3 linked regions of the Lepisosteus oculatus genome follow. The protein of the gene in region 1 interacts with the protein of each later gene in a pairwise test. Links are inferred from orthologs where the notes say so. Each region holds a gene or a part of one and is shown on either strand. Other genes may lie near its edges. The genes, in order: lnx1, blvra and trim23.

What was found.
Region 2: the proteins of lnx1 (region 1) and blvra interact in a two-hybrid assay, tested with the Homo sapiens proteins (3 studies listed by BioGRID and IntAct). The link is inferred for Lepisosteus oculatus from reciprocal best matches to the Homo sapiens genes LNX1 and BLVRA.
Region 3: the proteins of lnx1 (region 1) and trim23 interact in binary tests that used the Homo sapiens proteins (3 or more experiments, as listed by UniProt). The link is inferred for Lepisosteus oculatus from reciprocal best matches to the Homo sapiens genes LNX1 and TRIM23.

What each region holds. Positions count from the first base shown.
Region 1 is NC_090696.1:78,406,108-78,416,585, forward strand, and holds the start of lnx1 (E3 ubiquitin-protein ligase LNX), read right to left. Parts: upstream 6,154-10,478; 5' UTR 6,039-6,153; intron 1-6,038.
Region 2 is NC_090701.1:24,141,189-24,151,666, reverse strand, and holds the start of blvra (biliverdin reductase A), read right to left. Parts: upstream 5,456-10,478; 5' UTR 5,441-5,455; coding exon 5,429-5,440; exon of another isoform or gene 5,408-5,428; intron 5,063-5,407; exon of another isoform or gene 4,548-5,062; intron 4,136-4,547; exon of another isoform or gene 3,822-4,135; coding exon 3,697-3,821; exon of another isoform or gene 3,654-3,696; intron 1,899-3,653; coding exon 1,779-1,898; intron 118-1,778; coding exon 20-117; intron 1-19. UniProt on the Homo sapiens protein: Reduces the gamma-methene bridge of the open tetrapyrrole, biliverdin IXalpha, to bilirubin with the concomitant oxidation of a NADH or NADPH cofactor. Does not reduce bilirubin IXbeta.
Region 3 is NC_090698.1:27,871,489-27,881,966, forward strand, and holds the start of trim23 (E3 ubiquitin-protein ligase TRIM23), read right to left. Parts: upstream 7,103-10,478; 5' UTR 6,914-7,102; coding exon 6,818-6,913; intron 1,736-6,817; coding exon 1,573-1,735; intron 921-1,572; coding exon 799-920; intron 1-798. Other genes in the region: trappc13 (trafficking protein particle complex subunit 13), read left to right, coding at 8,142-8,226.

The sequences.
Region 1 (10,478 bases):
TTGGGGATTTACCCATTGTTTTGCTTTGGCAACGCTGATTTTACTCACTGGTCATGCCAATAAAGCATATTGTATTGAACTGAAAACAGAATTTCACATCAACGTAATCATTTTGACACCAGGCATGATTTCCGCTTATTGTTTCAAGTTTACCGATCAACACATATTTTTTGCAGGTAATGGCAGGGCCATCTGAAGCCCGTCACTTTCCCTTTGCAGCTAAACAGAAGCTGAAAGAACCCACCAGTCTATCTTCACCCTCGGGACTAATCACTTCATGAGAAAACAGCCGCTAATGTGCTCATTGTGGGGGCCGGCGCGGCGCTCCGAGTGTCCACATCCTGCCTGTTGCTCTGCGGGGAAAGCGCATCAACTATCGCGATGCCCCTTCTCAAAAGTGCAGTCACAAAGAAATGAAACTACCCCCCTCAATAGAAGTCTCCAAATACAAAAACGATATATGATATATATATATTCGACACGGAGAAAAAGAAACAAAAACGAGGAACACATCACTCACTCTCAGGACCTGAGGTTATTTCACACCCGACTGATACAGCGGCAGGCAGCAAGAACCCCCGAGCCAGAACTACAGTTTAAATGACATCTTATTTCCCGATACACCCCAAAAATAATCAGTTTTTATATTTATTACGAAAACCTCAGTCTCCAAGCATTCGCATCGAATGGTTACCTTCCACTGAGCTAAAGGTATTTTTTTTTAAGGGCCTTAGTTGTAGATTCACCGAGCTGGATCACCTGAGGGCTTTTGCTATTGTGACCTGGCCGGCACCCATTGCTGGCGAACCGCGCAGTGAATCTGGAAAGACACGGGAGAGGGAACTTTATTTTTTCCCCATTTAAAAAAAGAAAAAAATAAATACATTTAAACACATTTGCCAGTATCAGCCAACGCCTGCAGCTTCCACCATCTGTCCTCTAGTTTAGTTTTACTCACAAACCTAACGCAATAAATGAAACCCGTTGCCCCATTGAGAGACTGAAAAGACTGGAAGGGAGGCAGGTTTAATTAATTTTGTGTTTTAAACACAGCATTGCTTTTTCTGTTGTTTTTTTTTTTTTTTTGAGTGTGCCTGGAATTAAATTTCACCAAATACTACAAGATTTCTTTCTTTTTTTATGTATTCAAGGATTTTTGATATTGCAAATCACTCAATTAAGGGGAATACATTGTGCAGAATTGATCTTGTAATAGACTCTCCTGCATGATCTCAGAACTCTCAGACTGAATGTGATCTTGGGGAATAGTTGCACAGCCTCATCTAGCTGCAAAGGGAGTTCCACAAGGTTTTGTTCTGGGTCCTGCTTTTTGCTTCATTTATATATTTACAATATTTTAATGAAATACAAAACCCCATCTCTAAGCCAGCAACACTGGACATAATTTAATAAATGACAAGTACAGACATTTTTTCCTTTCTCACAACAAATCTTATTATATCCTTTCCCTACACATAAACTAGTTTAAATGCTGGCCTCTAATTCTGTTTTTGAGAAAGCACTTGGTAACACTTTGGTGTCCTGTTATGTTATTTATACTTTATTGATTGTTCTTTTCTTTTACTGCTTTGTTTTCTGTAATGCTGTAGCCTCTGGCAGCCTCTGAGGCATGTTGTTATTGTAAATAAGGTTTGGTGGGTAAAATAAGGGATTAAATAATAAAAAAAATATATGCCATTAATTTCCAAAGGGAACAACACCGCAAGCTTGCAGATATTTGAACCATAAAGTCATAAGGCATATACTGTAAAATGTAGACTTAGAGCCTAGAATAAATCATAAATCACTCAAAGACTCATCCAGAATGAGTGACTGCCATGCTGGAAAGGAGGATAAACTATTGGGTTGTTTCATCACACCACAGTCACTTGCATCCTCTAATATGACACATGTCAGTGTAAATGAGACAAAAGATTCGTAGTCCTTAATTTTTCTTCAAGAACTCCCATTTTTTCTACTGTTAATCAAACAGCATACATACTAATCCATAACCTTCACAGGTCAACAGTTCCACAGAGAGAAAAAATACTGCTAAGGATTACCATAAAGTACAATTCTGTGACATAGCTCGTAACTCAATGGTGATTTTATTTGCACATAGAATTTAAAAAGAAAGTAGATATTCTCTTACTTTTCTATGGTATAGATAGATGTATTGCAAAGACCCATATTGGAGACCCACTATATATATGTAAATACACATACACTGTATGTCTGGAGCTGGGACTGGAAACATGTGTGGGGTTAATCCTTTGTAGTGCTGGCTTTTGCATTACGCAACGCACTTACACATTAAATGGAAGAGATCAGCAGTCCTGATCTCACACCCTAGCTTAATCTAAGGAGGAAATGTGACAGAGTGCTGGAAATTGGATGTAGAGGATGCTTTTGTAGGGATTGGTCCAACAAAGCCACCATGTTTTACAAGGGTTAATGTTCTGTGATTAGCAAAGCTGCAACAGAGTTGTATCCCGACAACTAATAATTTTATATACATATATCATAAATTCATACAAATACTGTACATCAAGATTCCCTTAGAGGGACTGTTGTCTGTTTATCCCAAAGATCATCGGTACAAAGGAATTGCATTTTAAAGAAGACTAATAGATTGCCCAGCTTTTGCGTGGAATCTGAATGATCGCATTGGAAGAAAGTTCACTACATGGCTCTGCCTCCCAGAAACATATATACATGTTAAAAGTGTATATTATTCATTATTATGCACTCATATACCTTTGTTTGTACTATTATGCCTTTGTACACCTTATTATACAAAGGTATGTAATACCTTTACAACCACTGTTTCACATTGTGGGAGCCAAGGAACTGACTGCCCAATGGCAAACAAAAACCAAGTGTTTCAAAGTCCAAAACTACTGCTTTCTCAGCAGCACGTGTCTTGGGGCGCATGTCAGCGTCTCTTCGAATGTGGTCATGGCCAAGAGGGGAGTGAAGAGGTGTATTTGAGGAGATGCAGAGTCAAAATAGTTAACAAACCCTTAGTTTCAAAGGAATAAGTAAAGGTTTATTCCTCGGTTTATTCCATTTTGGCTGTGGAGCCTTCTTCATTGCGCTTCTTTTCTTCTCTTCTCAGCAGGAATAAACCTTTGCTTGTTCCTTTACAGCCTGCGCCTGCTGACGCAGCTGCCCACCTGAACTGTTTCAACCCTTAGTTTCCTAGACATGACCAGTGAGACAGCCCTGGGCAGGAGTGTTACAGCAAGCGGAAGACGCCGTGGAGATGCGTGTCACAGAAAGACGAAGAGGAAGGCCAGGGGAGGGCCTATGAACGCGGCGCAGTGCCTGCAGCTGGCGGAGCGCAGGTGTGGGGCTGCACCCTCAGACCACGCAGTGAGAAGTGGAGTTACAGTGAAAAACAAAGGTGCCTTTGTGAAAGAGCAAGATCACTCCAATTGTGTCTGCGCTCCGCGGGGCTCTTGGGAAGACAGCCTGTGGATGAAGGGTTTGTTTCCAGCCTGGCAGTGACACCAGACATTGAGCAAACAGGCAGAGACAAGCCAGGTTACTGAACAAGAAGAGGAAAAGGTACAGGAAGTGATCTACTGGCCCTCAAAAGCCACCTGAGGTTTAATTGTGTAGAGAGTATTACAACACTCTTGTTTTGGACAGAGAGATGGTTAGGAGTGAACGAGTGTCAGCAGACCGCGATGACCAGTTATGGAGGGCTGACAGAAAGTCTAGAGCACATCAAGAGCTTGCATATGACAAAGAAAACACTGAGCTATTGTTTTGTTATAATCCCTTAATTAAAAGCATCATATTTTGAAAAGCACAATTACGTGTTTCTGTAGCTGGCCAGGGGTGCTGGGATTCAGTTTCCACTTGCAGCCTGGCAGGGTGTCAGCCCAGCACGGAGACGAGGCCAGAGGCAGCTGTGGCTTGACAACAGCAGAGACCCACTGCACTGCACTCGAGCTTTCGAAACACCATTAGTAATCAGAGTGTGTGACGATCCTGTAGATAAGTCCTCTGTCTCAAAAATATGATGACAGGTCAACACTTGACATTTTACATTTTCATTATCCATCTTCTTTATCTGAGAAAAACCAACACAAAGAAGGAAACAATCTACAAAGTTGTAATTTGACTTTTAAAGTGTGCTCAGCACGGACTAGAACCTAGAACCTATTGCTCTGGCTGAACACTGACTCCCAATACAGGCAGTATAATTGAAAGAAACCTACAAATGACTTTTTCTGTCATTCAAGCTGTGCCTGTGGCAGAGCTTTTAACTCGAGAGAAAAAGGAGAACTAATCGAAAGCTTGCTTTAAGAAATATTGTGCTGTCTAAAAACAATTCGATAGTGACCAAAATAAGGGATAAAATAAATAGAAACACAAATGTTAGTTGCGTGCATAAAAGGATGTAATATAATTAATTGGTACTACATACAATTGAAAACAAATAATCACCACATTTTTTAAAGAAGGCCCAGAAAATGCTTTAACTGGAATTCTAGTAAATGGATTCTAGTAGCTCTGTGACCTATGAGCCAGTGGCCACACACAAAAGCAGTGAATGAACAAAGAGCCCAGTGTTGCAGAACATCTGAAACCTGTATAAAACATTTCCCTACTAATACAAAAGAAAGAGCTTAAAGTAACTCGAGCCACACAGAACAGAGGAGCTTCAGGAATGCCCTGCATTGGATATTCAATTCAGTTGCACCTTAAAATACAGTGCTCAGACAAGGATCAGCCCACACCCCTAAAGGAGTAATTCTGTCACGGTCGTTATGATAGGTTGCTTTCATGTCATTCATAGGGCTGTTTCTGAGTGATAGAAACTTCCCAGTCACGTAACTGAAAAGTAACCCTGGTAGACTGATACAGGTTGTGCATGACAGAAAGTTTCAAGTCCTGCTGCTGTGAACAGTGCAACATCCCACGGACATACTGTATACTTGGAAGCCACATGAGGCTTGTTCATAGCAGACAAGGAAGATACCAGTTTATTTGCATTTTGACAAGGTCTCATCATCGGGTAATGGGGTTGCATTGGCTTAAGAATCCTATGTAATGATACAAGTGCCTTTGCCATTGCACTGATAGCTCGACCTATTCCTGCAGGGGTTAAGGTCACTATGACAACCTCTGTTTCTCTAACGTCTGCAGCAGCCTGGAGCTGACCTGCGCTGTCGGGCACACAGCCCCCCAGAGCCCTGCCAGGCTCCCTCTCTGCACCAGAAGGCTGCGCTCAATGAGCTTGTGAAACAAGAGTCCAGGTGTGAAAGACCCAAGACAGGTGCTACATTTGCTGTCTTAACACTTGGCTTTTTTAAATGGCAATAAACAGGGATTTTTTCAATTATTATTTAGTTGTTATTAAAATTATTTTTACTGAACTACAACCAACCTACAAGCAGCATTCAGAAAGCCTCCTGAGGAATTGTTTCTTATTAAACATTGGCCTATCAAAGTCTTTCTAAAGTCATTAAATAAATATTTATATCAACTACAGACACCTAGATGAGAGACAGTCACACCAATATGGATTTTAAAACACTTTTTAATTCCAACTAAATTCCAACTAAAGTCCCACTCAATAGCAAAGGTTTTTCAATACAAAAAGCGCTGTGGAGGATATAAAATGCAAGATGGAAGAAAGGACAGGAAGAAGGTTAATCTAGATGAAATACAGCCCAGACAGTTAAGAATTTCAGTGAGTGAATAAAATCTAAAACACAAGTAAGAAATTAATCTAAAAACTATTTGGCTTTATTTGTCCTGGACAGAAAGGAAATAATTTAGAAAAGGTAGAAAGCAAAAACAATTCTGTATATTATATAAAGCATCTAATCCACCTATACCTGCACACACTCCCACAAATGCCCACTGTCCTTGAGTTTAAGTTTTCATTATGTATAAAGCATATTTAATTTCCTCGGCCCAGAAGACGCTAACAGCAGGTGAGCTGTGTCGCAGTCAGTGCATGTACAGTTACACAACTGCATAGCTCTACTTTAATCTGCAACAAATTGCAATGCACTTACCTTTAAAAGTTGTACCCAGACAAATTCAACCGCAACAGATTTGCCTCTCTGCTAATCCTTTAAACTCATTTTTTAGCTAAAAGGAGCATGGGCACACATTTTCTCCTGGTCGCAACTGCACACACAAGGAGAAGCAGTCATGCAGATTAGTCCTTGAAACTGAAACAAGTGTAGCAGAACGTCAGAGGGTTACAGCACGACCGCTGTCATTCCCACAGACTTGACCCCAGTGTAACCGAATCAGAATCTCGCACAACACGAGAACTACATATTTGTAGCCACGATCATGACAAGCTCCTGTAGGCCCGCATGACCCCAGGCAGTCAGAAAATGAATTCTGGACTTGGTGCAATGACTAAAATGGCCTTGTTAAGGCCTGTTTGTGTGTTTTTGTATCCGTTTTAATGGCAGATTTCAGGCTTAGTTGCCCTGTTTGGAATTCAGCTGTGGGACCTACTCGGATTCTGCTTTGAAAGGGGACTTCCCCAGCCATTAGTCATTGAAGAGTGACGTTAATTGTCTTATTGGCAGGTAGTGGGCTAATAATTCACACTATCAAGGATTCTGCGAACTTGCAAGATAATGAGCCAGGTCCTGGAGAGCCTTCTGAGCAGCTCAACGAGTGGCATGTGAGGGCATGCTAAATAAGTTGCCCTGGGAATTTCTTCTCTGAGCTGTTCTTTTTTATCTCTAATTGCATTTATTATTCTTTGGACAAAATTCAGGCTGGAACTGAATTTCTTGTGTTCAGCTAAAAGACAAAATATCTCACTTCCTCAAAGTTACAGTTTCTCTTATCAAACCTGGATTCACTACACTTTGGGGTAAAACAAGGTTTCCCGAAGCAGGGCAGAATCCAGGCAGTAACCATTAAACAGAGTATGTACACTTTCTAGGGTGTTGGCCAAACTGGAGTAGTAGAATTGCATTAATATCGTATGCAAACATGATACGGTACAATATGTACATGCTACGACTGTGCTGTTAGATTCTAGGGAAACCTGACTGCTTGAACCCCTTGATTCAGTTTTGCTGGAAAAGGGGAAAATCTGTTGAGTTGCAGTTACATCCAAAAATGATAGACTGCTGGAGAACTGCAATTTTTTAAACCTTTTTTACTTTGTTAATTTTATCGGGTGTTTTTTCTTTTCTGGAAGGCAGGAAGGGTTTTGTCTACTGCCCCCCTTCATAACCAGGCCACTGAATTCATTCAGCGTTTCAGTTTGGAAAGTAGCAAGTTACAACTTGTGCTAATTCACGTGCTAATGATGTTGTTGTGAAAGTCTGGAACAATCTGCCCAGCTGTACTGTTAAAGTTGATACCTGACTTCTTTCTGGAAACATCTGGATGAGATGCATGGATGGCTTATCTACTAACTACCAAGTGAGCGAGATGGGCCAGACGCTAGAATTCTGCTGGAGAATGCTGCTGCAACAGAGGTGGAGTTGGTGTCCACCAACCCTTTCCTTTATAATGGATCTCATTCACGAAATACAAAAGCTACAACACTGAGAAAGATACAAACTGCAGCTGCACTCCTCCCTGCTCGTTGTGGTCCTGAGGACCCATGTATGAAGTATAAAAAGTGTTTGCGATCGCACCACAATGATCTAAGGGGGTTTCAATGAGCTTTCAAGGGCTTCACAACTGTGTTGACGAGTGTCCTGAATATTTCATCTGTCTGTGCATTTAGAGACACTTTCATGTAGAAGGTGATATATGGATTTAAGGCATTATTGCTGCTGTTGCCTTACCCATGTTTAACGCTTCTATCTATCAACCACTGACAGTAAATCTTTGCAAGGGGTCCTTCATGAAGAATCAACAATCGCACATACAGTAGTCTCTGTACTGTATTCATGTATTCTGAGGTCAGAATACATGGATAGAATAAAGATACAAATAAAATGCAATTAAGTTCTTATGCTTCTGTGATATATTTCAGCAATGTCTCTTTTAAATAAAAGCTGTTTTAACATAACAGAAAAACAAAAACAAATTGCTTTGGCATATTTGGGATTGGAAATAAAGTTGAATTACGATTCATGGTTTGTATAAAGATGCATTAAATTAGTTTTTACACCTTCAGGTGATAGTTTGTGATCTCTTTCCGATTTACATTATTAGATAGGAAGAACAAAAGGGAAAACACCTTTTCCCACTGTGTAATTGTTGGGGTTTGTTGGCCTTTTTGTCTTGAAATATTGTATGTGGGGAAAAATTACTCCTTCACTAAAACAGGGGTCTAGTTTCTTCCACGATTTGTATTCACGGCTCGTGTCAAAGAGGGTTTTTCAGGACAGCCATCAAGAAATACAATTTGTAGTTGAATCTGTAGGATAAGATCACACACAGTACACCAGTAATAAATTGAATCTGTTGGATAAGATCACACACAGCACGCCGGTAATAGAAATGCTTTCTTCAATTATGCTGAAAGTGATATATACGATAACATCCTCACCTTCAGATACCAGTGCATTATGTAATAAATAATGACAAAAATAAACATCATATACTTTTTTAACCTTTTTAAATTTGAAGTATGCAGTAGTTTACTCTAATTGTATGGTGGGGAATCAGAAAGTGGAATCCTTGTTGTGAGTAGTAGAAAATAAAATAAACGTATTGTGATCATACTGTATATACAGTATTTACCATTATATATTCTGTTTGTGTCCTATACAGCTCTTCTCTTGCAGTTTCTGTGTGCAGAGACACGTAATGTGGAAGCTGTATTGTACCAAGCAGTAATTGGAAACAGATGTAAAATGTGTAATAGTGTCCTCAAGGTAGGACTATGAACTCCATGTGAAATTTGAAAATCATCTCACATTCCTTTTGTGAATAGCCTTGCCTTCTCTTTACATATAATGTCAGGTTGCTATGGAAGCATCCTTGAAACTGGTTTGCACGATAAAGATTTTTTAAAATTAATTTCCTTAAATTATAATAGTTTGAGTGCACATAAATTATAGATTGGGTTATGTCGTCTTCCAGCCTGATCTTGTCAGTTCTCAGAAGTTGAGAAAGGCTGGGCTTGCTAAGCTGGGCTGCTGCCTTAAGTGGTGTTTGGTGGAACAGTAGGTAGCTCTCTTCCCTTTGGGATACAATTTCCAAATCAATGACCCAGTGTAGTATAGGAGGTCCAGATGAGAAGAGATTGTTCAGAAGAGATATTAAACTGATGTCCTGACTACATGGATATTAAAGCTGTTTCCAATAGAGGGATATTAATCTTGGTGTCCTGGCTGAATACCACTCTGGCCTCCCTAAAGTCCCCCCTTAATTCATCTGGGAAAGCAGTTTCTCACCCATGTGGTTTGTTCTGTACTTCAAGGTATTCTCAAGGATGAAGTAGGTCCTCTTCAGTTTTGAAGCACTTTTTATTTAACCACATTACATGTTCATGAGGACCGCTAAAAACCCAAGAGAGTTAGTGAACTATTTAACATAATCTTGAACAGAATGAGGAAATGTTTGTTCAATTTTTATTGTTGCTTTTGTGAGACTCAAACTATGTGCAAGAGCAGTTGCTATTCCTATGAAAATGTTTTCATTGTATTATAGAAATTGTCACTTTTTTATTAATTTGGTTTAGCCTTTCTCAATATTCAGCTGCTGCAATGTTATATTCAGCTGTTGGAATTTAGAGCTTGAACTGTCATCGTGATCTGACACAGAGGAAAAGGCAACTTTTCAGGTCAGACTCAGGTCAAAGGAACATTACTAAAGTAGAAAGTGATTAGTTTTATATTTGTCTTAGTCCTTCACCTAGTTTGTGTAGCCTTAAAAAAGAGAAAATGACACATACATTTTTTATAGAATTCTGAGTTTTCCTTAATACTAATTTCACCCTGATTGTTGGTCAGTTTGTATAATGGATATTAAAATGTCAAAAACTGCTAAGTCTGTGTTTAATGTATTTATACATTATGTATAAAGTAATGAGAAGAACTATCTCTGCATAATATAAGAACTACATCCCCAGCCTGTTGTTGGGAACGCGCTTTCCTTCACTGCCTGAGAAAACATTACAACACACGACTGTGTGAAGGCTGAGAGAAAGATCTGGCGTGACTGCCTGGGCCACAGCACTAACCCACCAAGCCCAGAGGACGAAGTGAAGTTACGCCAGTAAGCTGTAAACTGTGGCCTGTGCCACATTGGGAATTTCACCCACAAAGGAAAGAGTAACTGAGTATCTTTATTACAAACAAGTGAACTATATGTGAGTTATACAGTTCATGAACATGAATTCATTGACCTCTTCTGAAATGTTTGTCCTTTTAAACTATTCCTTTACAATTAATGTAATACAGTACATTGTCAGGGTGCTTTGCAGAACACACTTTCACAGGTACAGTAAGTGAGACAATCCAGGTATAGTTACTCTTATTTAAGTTACAGAAACTGTGAATCTGATTGATTGATAGATA
Region 2 (10,478 bases), on another chromosome or scaffold:
TTCCCCAAACCTAACTCACCTTTTTTATCAGCTAGCTCACAGAGCTGTTTCACTGAGGCAAAAGATAAAGTCATGGGATACTCCACACAAACATGCTTTCCAGCCTCAAGGAACTTTCTGTGGGTGGAAGGAAGAAAAGGTGGCCAAGAAATCACTTCAACACATTTCCATTACAATCCCATCCCAGCACTCTTATCACAGTTTCTAACAAGGAGAGAAAAAAGCAGTTCTCTGTTTTTTAATGCTAATAAAAGAACTGATTTTTTTGGTTCGAAGTTATACAGCACCACAGCAGTTCCTGAAAATGTAGAAGGAACAGAACAGTGATCATTTGTGGCTCTGACCACCTGATCCTGAAAACATAAAGACTTTTTTGAAATGTTAGGAATTGTCTTTGTTTGGTACTTTAAGGGAAAAAAACAGCAATAATCCTGGTTGATTTAAAAAAGGCATTGCACGTTTACTTTTAAGGGACATACCTCAGAAATAGACCCAAATTTTACAGTATGTTTTTTAGGCCAATTTGAGACTGGTGCTCTGGTGCTTGACAGAGCTAGTTGGTGAACCCTTCTCACACTCCCACCAAAAAAACAACAACAAAATATTGAAAATATCCTGAAAGTTTCATTAAAACTGAAGTGAAGTAATATCTAATTAAGAACTATGGTTTATTATGTTTACTAACAATTACAGCATTGTGCCAGATGTATAAAATACCACAACACCTGTGGTTTATTTCTACTTGAAGTATAATAGAATCCATTAAAAGATGAAGTAGTGTACTCACTTTCATGACATACTTATAATTTAAAATTAATAAAATTGCAGCCACTAAGATGCCAGTGAAAGTAACACACAGCTACTGTCAAATCCAAATTTTTACTTCCGATGCCTGTCCCAATGTTAATTTTGTTGAGTGCTACCAACAGTCCTGTTACAAATATTCCTTGGTGAAAAACGCAAGAAAAGACTGATCCTCGATGAGTGTTTCACACACCACAGATCTTACATGGTCCTCCAAGCTGTCTGACAATCCCACTTCCACCTTCAGTGTCACACTCACTTCAACAAAAGCTTAATGCCTTCTGGAATGTCATCATTCCACGTCCAGAATAAAGCTCCTCTATTTCAACTAACAATTTACATTTGTGTTTTTATCAGCTCAGAAATTAAAAACTACCTAAAGCTTAAAACTAGTTTTAAGATAATAAAAAGATAATAACTGAAGGATTATGTAAAGTGCACAACTAAATGTGCCCTGATCCTTAATGATGTTTAAAATAAATGACCATTAATTTCATACATGGAGTAATTTAATGTTTGGTCAATACAGTGTTTCTGCTTGAGTAGCAATCTGTGTTACAGAGTTCTTATAAGGGTTTATCCTACCGTCATCTGGAGGGCTTATTCATCTTTAATCCAGTTCAAACAAGGAATTAAAGGCTGTGTTTAGGCTGAACAAGATCACAGTCATTGCTGTTGTAGGAATTTTAAAATGTTTCTTGGCTACCATCTAGTGGTAATTTAGAAAAATAACTGTGCTGCATTCAGGAATTCTAAGACTTAAGTTATATACAGTATGTAAACACTATACTGTATACTATACATGTAATATACATTACATACAGCATAATTACTGTACATGCATATATAGTCATGACAGACAGCAAATTAAAAATATGAAAATACCTTCATAAAATACTGAATTAAGACATTATCTTGCTATTTATAATGAAAGTAATAAGGCAAAGAAACTTCTGTGTGAACAAAGAACTCACCTGATATTTTCCTCATGGGACACATTTTCCGTACAGATAATGGCAGCATGAATATCTTCTCGGCTCAGGGCTTCATCTAGAGATATCTGCTGTATGTCCTGCTGGTTTTCCAAAGTCCTCCTAGAGGAAGACAATAGCACTTTGTCTGAGGGAATACCATTGTTACACAAAGGGGTAAAGAATGATCAACTAATTTTCTAACTTGAGCAGAGCTGAGCAACAAAGACCTACTGTAGACCTAACCCTTACGTTTAGCACTGTTAAATATACAAGTATACAAAATATGCCTAGAAAACTCTCAACATGATTGGTATTCTTTTATATGATTTTCAATTAATGTTCTTAGGAGTCATTGTGATTATCATTTACTAATTGAATAACAACCATGAAAACTGAAAAAAGCACACAAGACATTATAATAATAATTAATAATAATAATTGCTTACACTTATATAGCGCTTTTCTGGACACTCCATTCAAAGTGCTTTACAGGTAATGGGGACTCCCCTCCACCACCACCAATGCGCAGCATCCACCTGGATGATGCGACGGCAGCCATAGTGCGCCAGAACGCTCACCACACATCAGCTATCAGTGGGGAGGAGAGCAGAGTAACGTAGCCAATTCAAAGATGGGGATTATTAGGAGGCCATGATTGGTAAGGGCCAATGGGAAATTTGGCCAGGACACCGGGGTTACACCCCTACTCTTTTCGAGAAACGCCCTGGGATTTTTAATGACCACAGAGAGTCAGGACCTCGGTTTTACATCTCATCTGAAGGACGGCACCAAAAGTACAGTGTCCCCGTCACTATACTGGGGCATTAGGACCCACATGGACCGCAGGGTGAGCTCCCCCTGCTGGCCCCACTAACACCTCTTCCAGCAGCCTTCGTTGTTAATCAATATGAGACGCAGCAGTGGAGGAGGGGGAGTTTTAAAGTGAAAATTCTTTTAATTCAAGACCATTTTAAACTTCAGGAAAATTTCCTGAAATGTTATTTTACATTAGTTTACCATGCTGTGCAACGGTATCAACACAACCATTTTAATACTTGTGAGTGGCATGTTTCTGTTAATTCGATATAAGTTTAATTAACTTGTAAACAACTCTCACTTGTGTTGTAAAAATAGTTTAAAAACTATGTTATATGTTATAAATGTATTGCTTTATATGCACTGTGAAAACATGCATTATAGCAAGACTTACTATAATCATTTTGAAAATGTTTAATTAAAAAAATACATTTCTAAAATTACTAACAGCAAAAAGTGTTCTACCTCACATTGGAAAACTGTGTAGATTAAATGGTGAAGCTTCAGTCTTCTTTGCTTACTGGTGTTATGACCACATGCAATTTCAGACATTCAGTTTCTCTTGAGATCAATTTACAACTGAAGTCCTCCAGCACAAGACAAAAACTAACCTTCCTGCAATACTATAATTCTGCCAGTAAAGCTCATACCTGGCTCTCAGGCCTGGCATCCAGCACCATTATGATAGTGAGAAAACCTATTCCAAATACAGTAAATGTAGCTATGGCAGCTACTAGAAGCTACTAGAAGTGGCTTTAAAAGAATCCTTTTCTATGTCTTCCAAAATGTTAGAATATAGATCCACACAGCCTGAGCTAGAAAGGGAAACAGGACCCAACAGCCACCACTATGAGATTGGGAGTCAGGTTGTAGGACTGTATCCAGGGTCCCCCTTTCCTCTAGTGTGAATCACAACCCACAATGGCCCTGTCCATTCCCTTGAAACACATTACTTCAGTTCTTCACATTGTGTAGCTGTCTCAAGAAGAAAGAGATTTTCTCAAGACAATGGATATGGATAATGGAAATAATCACATTTGTCCTGCAATATTTATGCAGAACCCTTCGTTTAGGATGTTGAAGGTTTCAACTACCAGCTCACCTGGATATGAAGCCTTTGAGGCTCAACTTCTCTGATGGACTGGATGGGAGAGGAGAAAGGAGGTCCCTGATCCTCACTCTGCCTGCAGTTCCAATCCCCACTACCACTGTGCCAATCATATTTCCCTGCAGAGTAACAGACAGACAGGAGTTAGTTCCAAAAGAATTACGTAAGTGTAAAAAAGTGACACCGTAAAACATTACAAATTGTATACTCTTTATGCATATATTTTGACAATACTACAATCATATGTACACTAAACTAAACTGTCCTCATGTACGTGGCTTCTGTCACAAAACTGTAACTGCACAAGACACTGGACAATGAATAGAAAGAAGGACTAAGCAAACATCATAAGAACGACTGAGAACATGAGAGGACAGATAATTACAAACAAGGGACTGAATTAGGAAGGAGCAAAACGGTTAATGACAGAGAGGTAGGTTTATTAGAATTATTCTAAAAATAACACCACAATATTTTACATTTATAATGCTTTATGCAAAAAGAGAAACAGGTTATTCATTTTAATAATAATAACATATAAATAATATAATAAATAATATTACCTCACATTTAAGTATTTTAAAACGAAAGAGTCAAATACACCCCCAAGATCAACGTTTCTGGGGGTGTATTTTTAGTTCAGTTCTGTGGAACAGGAATATTCTATCCAACCAGCTGTCCAAAAAGTGTACCTCTATGTAAACTAAACACATGAGTACTGATATGCCATTACTCTGCATTTACATTAAAATATTTTGATATTAACAAAAATTGTAAGAATTATGATTATATCCATACTGTAAAAATAAATAAATATAATTGGTTTTTTTTAACAAATGGGCCAGATTCATGATTATGTCATCAAAGTGCATCCAACAAACTCAGAGTTACCATAGAGATGAAACGCACCATCATTTCTAGTGCAACTGAACTCATGTCATTCCATGAGCTGGAGCTGATGACTGGAAGGAGTCTGGAAGATGAAGACTGCGGCAACTATAATAAGCCTTTTTGGCATCCTTACTATGGGAGGCTACAGTATGTGCATGTACACAACACAAAGCGCACCTGGAGCGCTGTGGATACTGAGCTCCTAAGGACGATGACAATGTTTGCTGAAGAGATGGAATATGCTAGGGCCCATCAGAAAATTACAGAGCAGCCTGTGAATGAGGAGCCTCTGAGACACACACTGCCAGTGAACAAAATAACACCCATAACTGACCCACCACTGGAAGGAGACGCCTTGATACTGAGTAAACTGAAGGACCTGTGCAGCCCCACAGTCTTCCTGCTTGAGCAGTTAGGTTTACTGAGCCTCTTCTGCAAGTTGTTTGGAAAGCTAACTACAAAGAGGAGGGTGAGTAGAAACAGAGATTCCCCTAACATGCACAAAACGATCTTATTACACACAATTGTTTTCATTTCTGACGTACATTCAACCAGTGTCTTCTTACACCACCAAAGTCCAGTTGTATAATCAGTGAATTAATGTAGCCCTTGATCTGGACCTCGTTTACACAAAACACCTCCAATTCTTTATACAGTAGTATCTATCAACTAAAGTCAGAAAACATGGGTTTTGCTCACTCTCATGTGACAAGGCCTATGTGCATCCTACAATCTTACAGATGCTCAGTTAAACAGGATATAAAAGGAAGATTCATGCGCCATTAAAATATTGTCTTTTATGTTTCTTTCTCAGGCCAGAGAACCTAAACCCCACCTGGTCAGGCATCCAGGCTGCCAGAGGAGCTTCACTGACCTGTGTGAAGGCAAGAGAACAGCCTACACAGGAGTAAGCTGGGCCGGACAGAGAAAGGAACTGAGAACACTCTTTATCAGGGCTCTTCTGGCTTTCATCTGTTTCATTACATTTTGTAGAAATTTAAAATATTTATGTCACCAGCAGTTGTAACAGTTAAGATTTAAATTCATATGTACTGTATATTCAGATCAATAATTAACAGCATCCTACTTCTACATTTGCTAATAAAGTATGAAAGGGAATTAGTTTAAAAGGGCATACGGTATATGAAAAATATTTTTTTAAGTTGTAAAATTGAATATTGACACACCAATACCTTATTTGTGCAGATTTAACAATTCTATTTAAGTAATTTTAACGAACAACGTTGCTCTGATCATACACCTAATTGTAATGTTAAGCAAAATCAACCCATCACCTCTTATTATATACCATCTTATTTTTGTTCTAAGACAAAACAGTCATAATGCCAACATAAAATTCTAATAATATAATTTAAAATGTAAAAATTTTAATTTTAAGTAATTTAGTGCTAAAATGTTTTTCAAATTACAGTTGAACATTCCTAAGAAAAATAAACAAGTTTCTAGAAAGAACCCTCATTTTTTTTTAAATGATATAATTTATACTCAAATGGTTCAGATGGGGCAGCACAGTGGCTCAGTGGTTAGACCTGCTGGCTCACAGAGCTGGGACCCTGTATTCAATTCTGGACCTGGTTTGCTATTGGCATGGAGCTTGTATGTTCTCCCTATGTTTGTGTTGGTTTTTGCTGGTGCTCCAGTTTTCTCCCACAGCCTAAAAGACATACTGTATTAGTACTGTCCTGTAAGTTAACTGGCTCAACCCTAATGTGAGTGTGTGCATATTTGTGTCTATGTGTGCCCATTTTTGCTGAGTCTCAGAGTTGTGGTGACGAATTCAGGCACATTAAATACTACACTGAAATTAAAGTTGATGAAGGTTTTATAAAGTTATATGAGACGTGCTTTCTGTTTAAATATAAATAATGGAATGCAAGTGTACTGGATGCAGGGTGATGTCACCAGAGTGAATTAAGCAAACCCAAAGTTGCCATAGTGACAAGACTCACATATCCTTACATCACAAAGCAACCTGCCCACCACAAAGAGGCAGAGTCCAGCAAAATTCTAGTGCAACTGAACTCATGGCATTTCATGAGCTGGAGCTGATGATTGGGATGTGAAGATTGTTGTTAACTATACTGAACCATTTCGGCATCCTTAACATGAAGGTATACAAAACAAAGAGCACACCTGGAACACTGTGGATACTGAACTCTTAAAGACTCCTGAAGGGATGGAATATGCCAGGGCCTATCAGAAAATCATAGAGCAGTCTGTGAATGAGGAGCCTCTGAGACTCACACTGCCAGTGAACAGAATACAATGTGGTGAAAAAGTAAGCACATGCCTCACAACCTACGTTTTTATGGTTCAACATATTTCGACATATGTGACCTTCCACCTACAGTAATCCTCACCAAGTCCCAATAACAGATAAAATAAAGCTCATTTGACAAAACACACAACCATTCTACTATGTTATTATTTCTTTAAAAATATCAGCCAGGATGCAATACCTCTGAAAGGATAAAAGGAATTCTCAAAATGTTTGTTAAAAGAATCTTTTTCTATGTCTTCCATAATGTTATAATATAGATCCACACAGCCTGAGCTAGAAAGGGAAACTGCCACCACTATGAGACTGGGAGTCAGGTTGTAGGACTGTATCCAGGGTCCCCCTTTCCTCTTGTGTGAATCACAACCCACAATGGCCCTGTCCATTCCCTTGAAAAACATTACTTCAGTTCTGCAGATAAGCTTTTCACGTTGTGTACGTCTATGTGAACAGAAAACATGCCTCAGACAATGACAGAAATTTCTATTTTAATAAATATTAGCACAGGAAATTATTACAGACACTAGAAGCAGATAAGATAAATATCTAGAGTATTCTACCAATTATTCTCAAAGAAACAAATGTTAGTCATAGACCATAATGAAAACTCTTCCTGAAGTCTGTTGAAACAGAGGTAATATCCGCTCACTGGAAAATATCTACCATAGCACTGATACATAATAATAGTGACCGCTCCATTTTATTGTAAAGCAATACAATATAGATTTTGTGCAAAATGTGCATAGGTATATACAGATTGAAAGTACCACAGTATAAACAGTATATTACTGCAGTGTCCAAAAATTACATTAGTGCAACATGCTGTCCATAGACAGCCTAGCCTAGGGCAGTGTTATACACCCTGACAGCCGCCGGGAGGAAGGACCTGTGGAAACGTTCCCTTGAACACCGTAGCTGGAGCAGTCTGTTACTAAAAGTGCTCCGCTGTCTAATAACAGTCCCATGTAGCGGATGAGATGCATTGTTAATGATGGCTGTGAGCTTGGTCAGCAATCTTCTCTCTGTCACCACCTCCAGGGGGGTCACGGCTCAGCCCCAAAACAGAGCCAGCCTTCTTGATGAGTTTATTGAGTCTACTTACATCTCTTGCCATGATGCTGCACCCCCAGCACACAACAGCGTAGAAGTTTACTCCTTAACAAACTTACTCCTGTTGGCAAACTTACTGAGCACATTACACTGAGAAGCAGAACCTTACTGGGAAGACTGCAGTAAAAATCTGAAATCGATATTTAAAAGGATTCACATGGAAAGACAAAACAAAAATCTTCTTAAGGTAGATGTCCTAAGGTAGATGGGCACTGAGAAACAGATACAAATTCTTGTAACAGTTCTGTAATGGTGAATTGGTAAACCCCAATTAACTTAAGTCATCTCTATGAAGACCAAAGACCAAATTGTCAGAAATGTTTTTTTTTTCTGTTAAAAACAAAACTTCACCAACTTCCACCCGTCACTCAAATATACAGTTAACATATCTTCCACTACTCTTCCGTTTCTAGACATCAACTTCTCCATTAACTATCCCTGACTCTCTACTTCAGTCTATTACAAACCCACTGATTCACACAACTATCTCCTGTATAGCTTATTTCACCCCAAACACACTAAAAACTCTCTCCCCTTTTCACAGTTCCCTCGGCTACGACGACTCTGCAGCGACATCGATTTCCAGAACCAACCCCTCAAAATGTACTCTTTTAGCATCAACAGAGGATACCCTAGCAGTGTTATTGACAGAGCCCTTGCCTGAGCCCAAAACATCCCTTGGACCATCAACTCAATCAAGAATTTCCGCCTTAACAACCGCATTCCTTTGGTGCTTCCCCACCACCCTCACTTCCTATCCCCAGGGCTATTAACGACAATTTTTCCATCCTACAGGATGATCCCTGCATTGGGGCTCTCTTTTCTGACCGAAACATCATCTCATATCGTCAACCACCTAATCTGCGTAACCTTCTTGTTCACAGCTCCCTTGACCGCCCTCAGCAACCATCCACACCAGGCACTTTCCCTTGCAACAGAGCTCGTTGTATCAGCTGCAAGAATGTATCTAACACCACACTCATTCAAGGCCTCTCAGAACAATTCCAGATCACTCGGATGACATCTTGTACCTCCAGCAACCTTATTTACTGTATTTCTTGCAGTAAACAGGAAGGAGACTCGGAGACTGCTTCAGAGAACGTGCCAGGGCTGTAAAGATTAAAGATTTCTCCAAGCCCATTGTTTCTCATTTCACCTCTGACGGCCATGATCACACTAATCTCTCCATTTGTGTTCTCAAAGCTGGTTTTCCTAATTCAAACATCAGAAAGACTACAGAAACTAAACGTATCCTGCAGTTAGGATCACACCTTTTTCCTCTCAATGACAGACTGATTTTCTTCTAAATTCTCTCTTTTCATTGTAGGTTTCATTTCACACCTCTCTTCACCTATCGTGACATCATACTACCTGATTGGCCACTTTGTCTGTCCCACGCTCCCACCTCTCGCCCCTCCTCTCTCCCAGCTTTTGTTCTCCTATGCTATATTACCTTTGCTTACTGCCCTGTCCTTCTTACACCTGAAGAAGGCTCCACTGCCAAAAAACAAAAAACATAGATGTACATACAAAAAACATGAATTTAGAAGTTTTAATTGCCACAGGATGTAGAACCAAGTCAAAACAATCTTCCTCCTCTGTTCTTCAGCTGAAGAAGGCTCCACAGCGAAACGTTGTTTTCTTTCTTCTCTTTTCAGCATGGAATAAACCTATTACTTGTTCCTTTGCAGCCTACGCATGCTGACGCAGCTACCCACCTGAACTTCCTCTTCTGTCATTTGTTTTTGTAAATAGTATGATGTATTTCGACAGTGCCTTTACTACAGGGAGCTAAATAAAAAGACTATTCCAGATTCTTAGCCAATTCCACATATTCAGGAAATCTTGGACATCTTATAATAATAATAATAATAATAATAATAATAATAATAATAATAATAATAATAATTGCTTACACTTATATAGCGCTTTTATGGACACTCCACTCAAAGCGCTTTACAGGTAGTGGGGACTCCCCTCCACCACCACCAATGTGCAGCATCCACCTGGATGATGCGACGGCAGCCATAGTGGGCCAGAACGCTCACCGCACATCAGCTATCACTGATAGTATCAGTGGGGAGGAGAGCAGAGTAATGAAGCCAATTCATAGATGGAAAGTCGTGGTGTTCGGTTTTAGACCTTTTTTCGACTTAATGAAACTTGGGATTTTATACAGACCCGAAAAATACTAAAGTAAAATATGTATTAATTCAGGTAAAGGGCTCGCTACAGTGCTGTACATTTCCATCAAACACTGCCGAAAAACCTGAAAGTACACCCAGGTCAAATGGTGAAGCCATCAAAAAAGTCGAAACACACAAAACCTAAAGCGTACTGTAGACCGCTAAAATAAATCCAAAACAAAGCCAAGACGAATAGCGACAAATCATTATCTTGAATATTCGGATTATCTTGTGAAGCCCTGTAAATTAATTGATCCATCACTGTTAGAACGCCTCTTATAACCTAAAAG
Region 3 (10,478 bases), on another chromosome or scaffold:
ACCTATCCCAGCAGACAACAATTGCTGCAACATGGGATGAAGATGATCACTTAGTACCATTCATTTGTCGAGAATAGAGTGAAGGATGAATCATCTGACAATATCACATTTCTCCACAGCTCGGTTTTCTGTTGCCTATTCTCTTTGCTCCACTGAAAATGCAAACGTGCATTACCAGCTGTGATGAGTGGTTTATACTGTACACTGCCACCCGACTATTCTATCTCACTTTCTGGGGCTCTAGGTGGACTGTGCTTGATTAAACTGGCTACCCATGCTCCAGGTTGAAATGATCCACATTTGCTCGGCAGTTTGGCTCACACTTCGAATCAATGCACAGACATCACGGTCCTGGAGTATGAGCTCCTGCCCAAAGTTTCCTTTTCCTTATGTCTTTCTCTCAGTCACTTGGCCACTGTAGGTCCTGCCAAATGCACCGTACAAATCACCCCTGTTTGAAAGTCAGTGAGGTCTCCTCTTGCTGCCATGCTAGCTAGAATTATAGGTAACCAGGTCTCTCCAACATTTTTATGCAGGACACTAAAGCATTCTAGGATGTTATTTGCTTAATTAATGCATGAGCCAGTGTAGAAGCCCTAGCTTCAATATACTTGGTCTTTCGGGTTTACCCAGGTGTTTCCATTTTGTGTCCACTACCTGTACCTAGAGCATTGTGCATTGTACAAACTCAATGTTACCAGATCATAAGGCACAAAATAAAGCCTGAGAGATAGCCACAATGCCACACTCAGGAGTTTAACACTACTGAGAATGCCCAGTGAACAGACTGTCTTCTACCTCCCCAGCTCCTCCTAAGGCGTCTTCTGACATGCCTGACTGGTTAGAGGCCCCATGCTGCAGTCTCTCAAGGAGCTCAAGCAGAGCAAAGTTCTTCTTCAGTCCCCAGACTCCAGAATCCCCTAAACAAACATACACATTCAAAACTGTCATATTACCACAGAAAGTCCACATCCTAGGATGTTGCACAATTGTTAGAATCAAATTATCAAAACAAATTCAAGAAATTGATTCTGCGACCTGTATATTGTGGAAGCTTCTTTATGTTTTTATTTCTCATGCAAAATAAAAATGTTTCTTGTATCAGTTCTGTGTTCATCTTCATTTAGACATATGCAAGGTTGTTTTAGACCAGTGCCACTACACTGCATGTAAACCCCTAGAACTTCACATATATCACCCAGGATACAGAAGAAAACTCCAATCTCATTAAATGTTAGCAGTCAGTCTTAAACCCAAAATACCACGATGATAATGACTGTTTCTGTAACAGAATTTCCAATCTATAAAGGATTTTAAATGGCATTCTAGATACTTCTTATTTTAGAATTTTATAACATGGGACCCTATGAATACCAATTCAGCTTTTTTTCTCCATTTTTCTCCGTTTGTTTTTTTGTCCTCCAAAACACAAAAAACAAACTCCAGTTTATTAAGTTAGTGAATTATAATTAGACGGTCATATGCCCCAGCTGATGCGAATTTAGCCACAGGAAGCAATATCCAAGTCAGGGCCTTGTCATCTCCATGGAAACTACCCAGCCCAGAGCTCACCCAGCTCGGTGACCTGTCTGTCGAAGGGGCAGCGGATGGCCCTGCCGTGCAAGGGAAGGCGAGTGAGGCAGTCATGGCAAACCGTGTGGCCACACAGTAGCAGCCGGGGGACTTTATCCCCTTGCAGGGAGAAAACGTCTTCGCACACTCCACATTCCAGCACCTGGAAGCACACAACAATCCACATGAAAAGCAACATCCAGCCAATATCCCAGGCAACGCAACCAGACCGACATACCGGGAGCTTAACAGCTGAACAGCAGCTTGCGGCCACAGATCTCCTGGGCAGCACACAATAACTATCAGCTCAGACATCTCAGAGAAACAAAACCTAGGCTCCGATTTAAGATTCACTCTGGCATAGGCTGGGACAGTGCAATCAATGTATTTGAATGTAATTCACAGAAATTAAGTCTCACACTGAATACCTTTGAATCCAAAGACAAAAGCCAAGTGGAGCTCGACTAGCCAATCAGGGTGATCAGTCAGCAGCTATATCACCCTGCAACCCACTGAAGCTCAGCAGGTGTGACCCTACCTGGATGGGAGACCTCCTGGGAAAAGCTAGTGTTGCTCCTGGAAGAGGTGTTAGTGTGGCCAGTTGGGGAGGGGGCGCCCTCTAGACTGTGTGGGTCCTAATGTCCCAGTATAGCGATTGAGACACTATTGTGTAAAAAAGGCACCGTCCTTCAGATGAGACTTAAAAAAAAAAGAGATTCTGACTCTGCGGCCATTAAAAATCCCAGGGTGTTTCTCATAAAGAGTAGGGGTGTTAACCCTGCTGTCCTGGGTAGGAGGCCCCGTATTGGCCTCCTACTCCGTTCTCCTCCCTGCTTACAGCTGGTGCGTGGGAAGCATACTGGCGCACTATGGCTGCCGTCGCATCACCCAGGTGGGTGCTGCACATTGGGGGTGGTGTAAAGCCCTTTAAGTAAAGGGTCTAGGAAAGTGTATAATTGTATTATTTCTATTATTTGTCAGAAATAGAAAATTTTCTATATATATATCAAATAGGTTAGTATTACTATTAGAAGTACAGTGTACTGAAGCTGTACAGCACCTTGTACTAGTGACTGCTGTGCTTCCCTGGAGCAGTTACTAACATTCTTTTTTTAATTTCTTTGGAGCTCATATTTTATTAGTTTTCTATGTATTCTAACGTAACATTATAGGACTGACTGCATCAAATCCTCCAAGTTAACCGACTGCCAGACCCATAAAACAGTACAGGGATTTTTTTTACAAACATCTGAGTCCGAGGGGGGGCACAGTGGTGCAACGGTCAGCATTACTGGGTCAAAGCACTTGGGCCCTGGGTTCAGTTGCTAGGGTGGGTGCTATCTGAGTAGAGTATGGACAGTATGTTATCCCCATGTTCACTTAGATTTCCTCCCACAGTACAAAGACAAACTGGTTGGTTGGGTTCTGGGAAAACTGGTGTGAGCGGGAATGTGTGTGTGTCCTGTGATGGACTGGTGTCCCATCAAGGTGTACCCTGCCTTGGGTCTGTTGCTTGCCGAGACAGGTTTCGGCTCCCCCGGGGACCCTGTCCTGCATAAAGCGGTTAGAAAATGGAAGGTTAGATAGATTTTAGACAGAGATATTAATTACTGAACAATATGTCAATAAACTATTTATAAACTGAAGGTTGTTTGAGGTTGACCACTGAACAGACTGGCTGATCCGGTATAAAGCACTAAACACTACAGGAAGGTCCTGAAACCAGAACAAACACCTACTGTACAGTAACATGCAATTCAGGCCCAATTTCAGGGTTTGTTTTTAATATAAATAAAAGTGTAAGTTGTGCACAATAACTCAGTTTTGCAAACTTATTATGAGCATTTTGCTTCCATATGCTGATAATATCTGAGATTACCTACAACAGGTGAAAACATTTCCATACACACTGTTTTTTATGTTATAATTAAGGTTGCCACATGGCCCAATAATCCCAGCTAACTTTGAGACAGAGCAGGACATTAAAGTTCCCCTGAAACTGAACTGCTTAACTCCCTAAACTTTTACTGCAGCTTAAACACCACATTTGGTCTGAAAATACCACAGATCTCTATGAACATGGAAAAATAAAAAAGTATCTAGAGCCTGGAATTTTAATTTTACAATTTACCTCACTCATTTGCATGTATTCATTCCTAAACGATCCAACTTACCTATCTAATGTGTTCTTCTGTAAAACAAACTGTGCATCTGATTACATATTTGTTCTGCAGGACAGTAGGATAAAAACAATGCAGAGGGCAGCTGTTTAATAAGGATGATGGCAAATTGATGGGTTGAGAACAAGCAAAAAAATACTCAATAATTACGTACAGAACTGCTGCCCCCACAAGTAACCGAAAAAGCTTTGCATTGGTTTCAAAGAAATTTAAACATTTTGGACTTCTTGTGAACAAAATGTTATTAAGTTTTAACATTGCTTCAATATAAAACAAAGAAATGCGTGTCCCAACACGAAGAAGAAGGACAAAGGGGCATTATCTCACTACCAAACTAAAAAAAAAAAACAGAAAAAAAAGAAAAAAGAAAGGGGCAGATTGAATATATTGTGTAAATTATAAAAAGCCTTTGTCTGGGCCAAGATTTGAGCTCTTGGAGCTCAGCAATGTCATTTAATTATTTTCAAGAAGGATAATGGCTATTTGGACACTTTCAAGAAGTATATCTACAAATGAACAAAACTCTCTATGATTTAAAAGCAATGCTGCTCTCCACTCAGTCCTGGAAGGCAGATTTTATAGCTGCAGAAAAGAATCAAGATGTTGATGTGCAGGAACTATCATCAAGTAGGAGCAGTCTGGGCATCAGTGGCATGGGACCAACCTCCCACAAAGCCACACATGCATGCCTCTTTTTTCACTTAAAAAGATCTTTTTGCCAAAAAAAAAGTCAGAATCCAGCAAGTGATGTGGCTTATTGCTTGAACAGTTTTGTGGACCTTTATCTTTATTAGGAAAAATAGAAATAATATCTGAAAATGAGATAAGAGTTTTTCCATGAAAGATGTCTAGAATTGAATATTACTGGACTAACATGATCAAACACAGCCTGCACTAGCCGAGATGGAATGTCATCAAGGCCAGGAGAATTCTGCTTCTACATAGATTGAGACTGACTTCAGCTCCAGCAAAGCTTTAGGAGTATCCAAAAGCCCAAATTTTTCAGCTGTCGAACTTAACCAGGTCTGTGCAGGAGCATGAGGTACAGTATAGAGGTGTGTAATGACCTTAGAAGCTGGAAGCTCACGTTGTTTTACACTAAGTACAAATTGTTTTATAGGATGTTCACCATACTCATATTGAAGCGGTCTTATCATACATAATAGGAATTTGACTCTAATTTTAGTGAGGCTTTAAACTAAGTTTTAAAACTATTTAATATTTTACCTGAATGTTAAATTTTTGTTCTTTTCACCCCCAACTCTTAAAATGCAGTTTCTTAACTGTTCATTACATCTGTTTAAATTACACGGAAAAGTAATAGAATAGTCTCCTATTAAAACATTTGGTGTCTTATCATAGAGAATGAGGGTAAAAGAATGGTGTCTTAAAGAAGTCACGAAATATAGTGAGGTACAAGAATGGGAAACATACTGTATGAGTGTAATATATTGAAGGTTTCCAGTAATACACCTATGGAGGAGCAAAGATGACTGAACACAAAATCAATTCACAAAGGCATTTTATTACTAGATGAGGGGGAAAAAACTATTTTTAACAGTTTTTTTTTCACTGAGCAGAATTCTTGTGCAAATGTTTGAAAGCTTTTACAGGCAGGCAAAGAGAGGAGACAAGGGGACAAACACAGAGGAAATGTCCAGCACGGGGATACTCTCTACATGCATTCAAGTCTGGGACATTTTGAGGTTTAATGCTACCTGGAAATTCAAAAACATTAGGCAAAAAACTGATGGCTCAATACAACCCTTTTCATTTTATGTATTGCACAAGAATGAGCAGTATTATTATACTGTAGCTGACGAAATATATTAACATTAGCATATTTGAGAACAGTCCGTTAGAGTAAAGCAACTTGGATTTAATCAAATTGCGAGCAAAACGAGTTCTGAAGGAGATGTTTGCAATTCCTTATTTACTGCTCAAAGTATTTGTCTCTATGCTATTTCTGCCAGAAACGCCATGCAAATGCATCTTTACATGGTCATGCTCAAGGAGCAGGTTTAATTTCTGCAAACATAAAAAAATTAGACCATGAAAATTAACTTCATCCCAGTGTGGTTGGGTCATTCATTCACAAATTTTACAACTTTACTAGATTACAGTATTCAGTCAGACTTTCCCTATTTTAGATCTAGATAACTGTAAATTTATTTTTATGTAATGTCGGTATCGATATATTGCTTGTTTGTGGGTAAGCAAGATTCTTCTGTTGCTACTAAAAAGAAAGCTGCACAATTGATATCAGACATCTGAATTAATGATAATAACATTAGAGACACAAAATAATGGATGCAGTTACCAAAAATAAAAACAATTAATTTAGCCATCTGCACGCATAGACTTAAAATCAGGGTTATTAACATTTTTATGCAATATTGAAGTAATAAGAAAACTGGCCAATGAAGTGTGTGCGATACACAAAACTCAATTTTTAAGTGACTACGTCTCGGTCAAATATGTGATCTTAAGTATAACCACAAACAAAAACAATGATTTACATGCGCACAGGAAGTGCAATTTGTCTATATTTTGAAACATGCAATTGTATTCAAGTACAGCCTTTTCTTTGATGCGTACGCCAACGCAGGCGAGCAAGCCTGCTCTAAACCCGCTGGAAATTTCCAGACTTAGTTACAAGTCTAAGCAAGCCAAAGAACGCTTTCCTCTTTGCAACACAGGCGTTTCTGTGCCACACAAATTGCAAGTCCCTTGTCATGAGATCTTGGTCATACTGCACTTACATAACAAATAACGCATGATTAATATATTTTTCTGAATTAAACTGCAGTGTGCAAACTGAGTTAAAGGGTTACGTAAAAGACAATGGGAACATCGCATTTTCAGAGGCTGTCATCAGCACCAAAGAAGCTGGTGCAGCTACATTAGCAACACAGCATCCGAGCCACGACAGCAGCGACCGCCCAACTCGCTCTCTCTCGCCAACACTGTCAACCACGGTCACCGGCAATGCACCCCTCTCTGCGGGCGTCGCAATAGGTTTTCTTTTTCGGTCACTGACCGTTTTGAGCATCGGCTTCACTCACCTTCACCGTGCCTCCTGCAGCCGCCCGGCCGTGTCGAACACAGCTCTCCATTGCCGCTGCAGATGCCTGCTTGTTTACACCTACAGCAGCAGCCATCCTCGGGCTCTACCACCAGCCCAGCCGCTCCTAGGTGGGTCCGATTGCACGTAGGCAGAATGGCATCGAGATAAAAATGCTTATATGCACTGTAATAGGAAAATAAAAACTCAAATTATAGTTCTAAAAGCAGTCTTTTTAATCTCCTCGACATATGTGTGTAAAGTAACAACCGAGTTCCTATTTAAAACTTCCACCTTCCCCCGAATAAGCAAAATGGACGTTCCTGTCAGCTGTTTCCGTCAGCTTCCAGAAAGCTGCAGGTGCGATTGCGCGTTGAAGAGGTTCGGTGAAGGAAGTTTTTGTGTAGCAGAAGAGGAGGCTTTGAAGGCGGAATCTTTGACTTTGAAAGAATTTTAAGATTTTTTTAGTCGAGTTTATGTGTTTTTTCTTAAGCATTTTAATTATTTTCAGCCGGAAAATACTGTATTTTATTTCTCCCTTATGTTTAAGAGCCAATTTTCGAGTAATGTGTTAAGAAGTAAGTTTTGATGCAGTAATAATGCAAAAGAAGGGTGAAAGTGTCACAGTGAAAAAAATAAATATACACTTTATGGTGCACACACTTTTTTCGTTTGAATTCAGAATACATTTTCCCATTAAACAATTTGAATTTTCTTATATGATTTTATTTGCTCTCTTTAACGTCACTTTTACATTCTCAATTGCCATGTGTACAATGAGCCATTGTAATCCTTATATAATGATATTGCACTTTTTTGTAGCTTGGATGTTCTAATGTTAAATTCCAATTTCAAGACCACTTCAACTATATCAAACTCCATCTAGCCAGTCAATTTTAATACGGTCTATGGTGATAAGGTCCCTTTGCATTCACCATGAGCATGGTAAACAGCTGTTAAGTCATTAATATACAGTATGTATACAACATGGAAAAAAGTTATGAAAAGCTAATACCTTTGTAGTTTTTTGTTTCCAAACGTGTAACTTGATTCCATGCATGAAACAGTGCATTATCTCTAAATGAAAGGCGATAACGATTCCTTCAATTATTTTTGCTAATTACATGCTTCTATATTAACATTAAATGAGAGTTTGTTCTCTTTTTCATAAGGGCACAGAATTTGCTGACGTCGTGAACCCCAGTACCCTGTGTGCGTGTTAATGAAGCTCCGCCGGGAGACACTAAAACCCCAATTAAAAAAAAAGGAAAAAGAAACGCGTCCGCACTGTTTGTTCCTATTTGCTCTCCGTACACTATTCTGCAATGCAGGTGAAGGTTCACAGGTTCACGCAGACAGGGAAGATGGATGTCAACCAGGCCAAACAAGAGCATTTGCTGGCTTTAAAAGGTAATATTTTCGGGTTTTTTTATTGACATTGAAACAAACAATTGTATGATCTATATTTTTATGCGTCCAAGGAGTGAGTTTAATTATTATGGTTAATTTGACTAGAACTTTATTACGGCCCCAACATAAATCCGCAATCGGTTTTCCGTCCGTAAACAGATAGCCAAGACAATTGCCTTTATTTAAAACAACCATGTATGAGTTTATAATATTTTGCCTTGTTTGATGTCAAGTCTTATGTCTCTGAAAATATATGTGTATTGTCCGAAAGTCTAATGGACTAATGTGTCTCGCATGGTTAGAGTCGTACAAAGTCCCGAGAAGTTTTTTTTTCTAAACGCCAAACATTGTTTTAAGTCAAATCTAAAATAAATATGCCCTCTGCGTTAATGATACTATGGGTCAGACATAGTATATGTGGAACAAATTCTTCATTATAAAAAAAAGGACGAGAGGGATGACTTTTCATTTTTTTGCAGGTGATGCGCAGTTAGCTGTTAACGGGATATATGATTTGATGCGTAAGTTGTTAGGGAGCTGGTCATTCGCGGTGACTCAAGGATGGAGGCTTCGGCTGCTTTACTGTGATTGTTACCTGATCTTTTCACACCTTCACCATAATTCCGCTTCAGGTATTCTCAGCTGCCCCGCACTGGAAACTGGAAACCGACCAATGTGACAGATTTCTTGGTGTCCTTGAAATCCATAAGGATCGTCAGTTAAAGAAACACCGAAACCAAGTTCGGTAATTGCGTTCCGTGGAAGAGCTAGTGATAGTATGGATGTAGTCTTGCATTACAAGAATCGTCAAGGTAACCTACATGATGTGTTGGAAATAGCCGAAAGGGCATTGGAAGATTTTCCCTGTGCTCCTTTGCCAAGATTTGTACCCTGGTTCCCAGATGATGCCAGCAAGCTACCGCTGAAACCCACAACGCGCCCACCAGTTATCTCGCCAGAGGAGGTGGAACAAATCAGGTGTCAGCTGAGCTCTTCAGCTCCTTTGGCGACTTCTCAAAGCTATGACTGCACAGAAGACCTGCTGGAGTTCTGCACGGGTTTTAAGAGGGCGAGAGCTCAAAGGGGCAAGGAGAGGGCGCTGTCTCTGCGCACAGGTTCGCCAAACTCCGCAGCAAGTGTTTCGAAAGAAGGAGGAGGGTTTAGAAGGTCATGGAGTGTTTCTCTTCCTGGGAGACTTCAGGAAGTTCTGCCTTTCTCCAGACAGCTCCAGGAAATATTGGAAGGCCTCCAGATCCACTCACTGCAGAGGGCCAAGTGGATAATTGAGGAATCGAACTGCCTCAGAAAAGACATGGAATGGGTTTGGACTGTCCTGAGCAGGGCAGTGAGACATTCCAAACTTCCTTCTTGCAACGCAAATTTTCAACGAGATGTGGGGCAGATTTGGGTTTTCTGTGATATTTTGTATAGTGAATATATCGGAAAGTTTATGAAACAACAGTTGAACTTAACCGGTGAAATTAATTTAGTAGTTCATAAACATGGAACCATTTTTAGCATGTAGTCTTGATGGAAAATGAATGAAAAATTTTTAATACTATGAACTGATTTCTAACACAATAGATGTTTTTCACCTATTTATTGTAATTATTTTTTTGTTAGACTTGAAAAAATAAACTCATCTCTAAATGCCACCCAATGTCCTGTATTAATACAAAGTAAAAATGTATCAAGAGAAATTCCATACAATTGAAAAGCAGCATGACAGAGTTGGGTCTTTTGCACTTTCTGAATATGAAACAATGGGGAAAAAATGGGAATCTTTGTGAACTGAATATTTCAATGCCAGTGATTACAATTGATATTTCAAGAAGAAGGAATATATATAGAGAGAGAGCTACGTGAGAGCTTCACCATGTTTTATTATTGTGTGTGAGAGAATTTTGTATTAAAGAGACAGTTTAGCTGAAGTTTGTACAAGGTTGCCTCTTCCACTTAAGCCGGAAAAACAGATTTGGATATTTGTGTCCACTAGTGTCTGCAACCTTAAGCTTAATATTGAATAAAACAAAAGGGAAAAACAGCAGAACATTTCACTATGGCATCACCGGTCTCCAAACGGGTGTGTGGTGAAACACTGAAATTACTGTGTTGGTCAGAGACATGCTGCATTTGGCATGTCATTAAAGACTTGTCTCCTCTCTACAGAAACAGCTGTGAACTCTTAAGAGTATTAGAGAGAACATAAAGAATGTGCATTGGCATAATTCAAAATTATTTCATGGTACAGT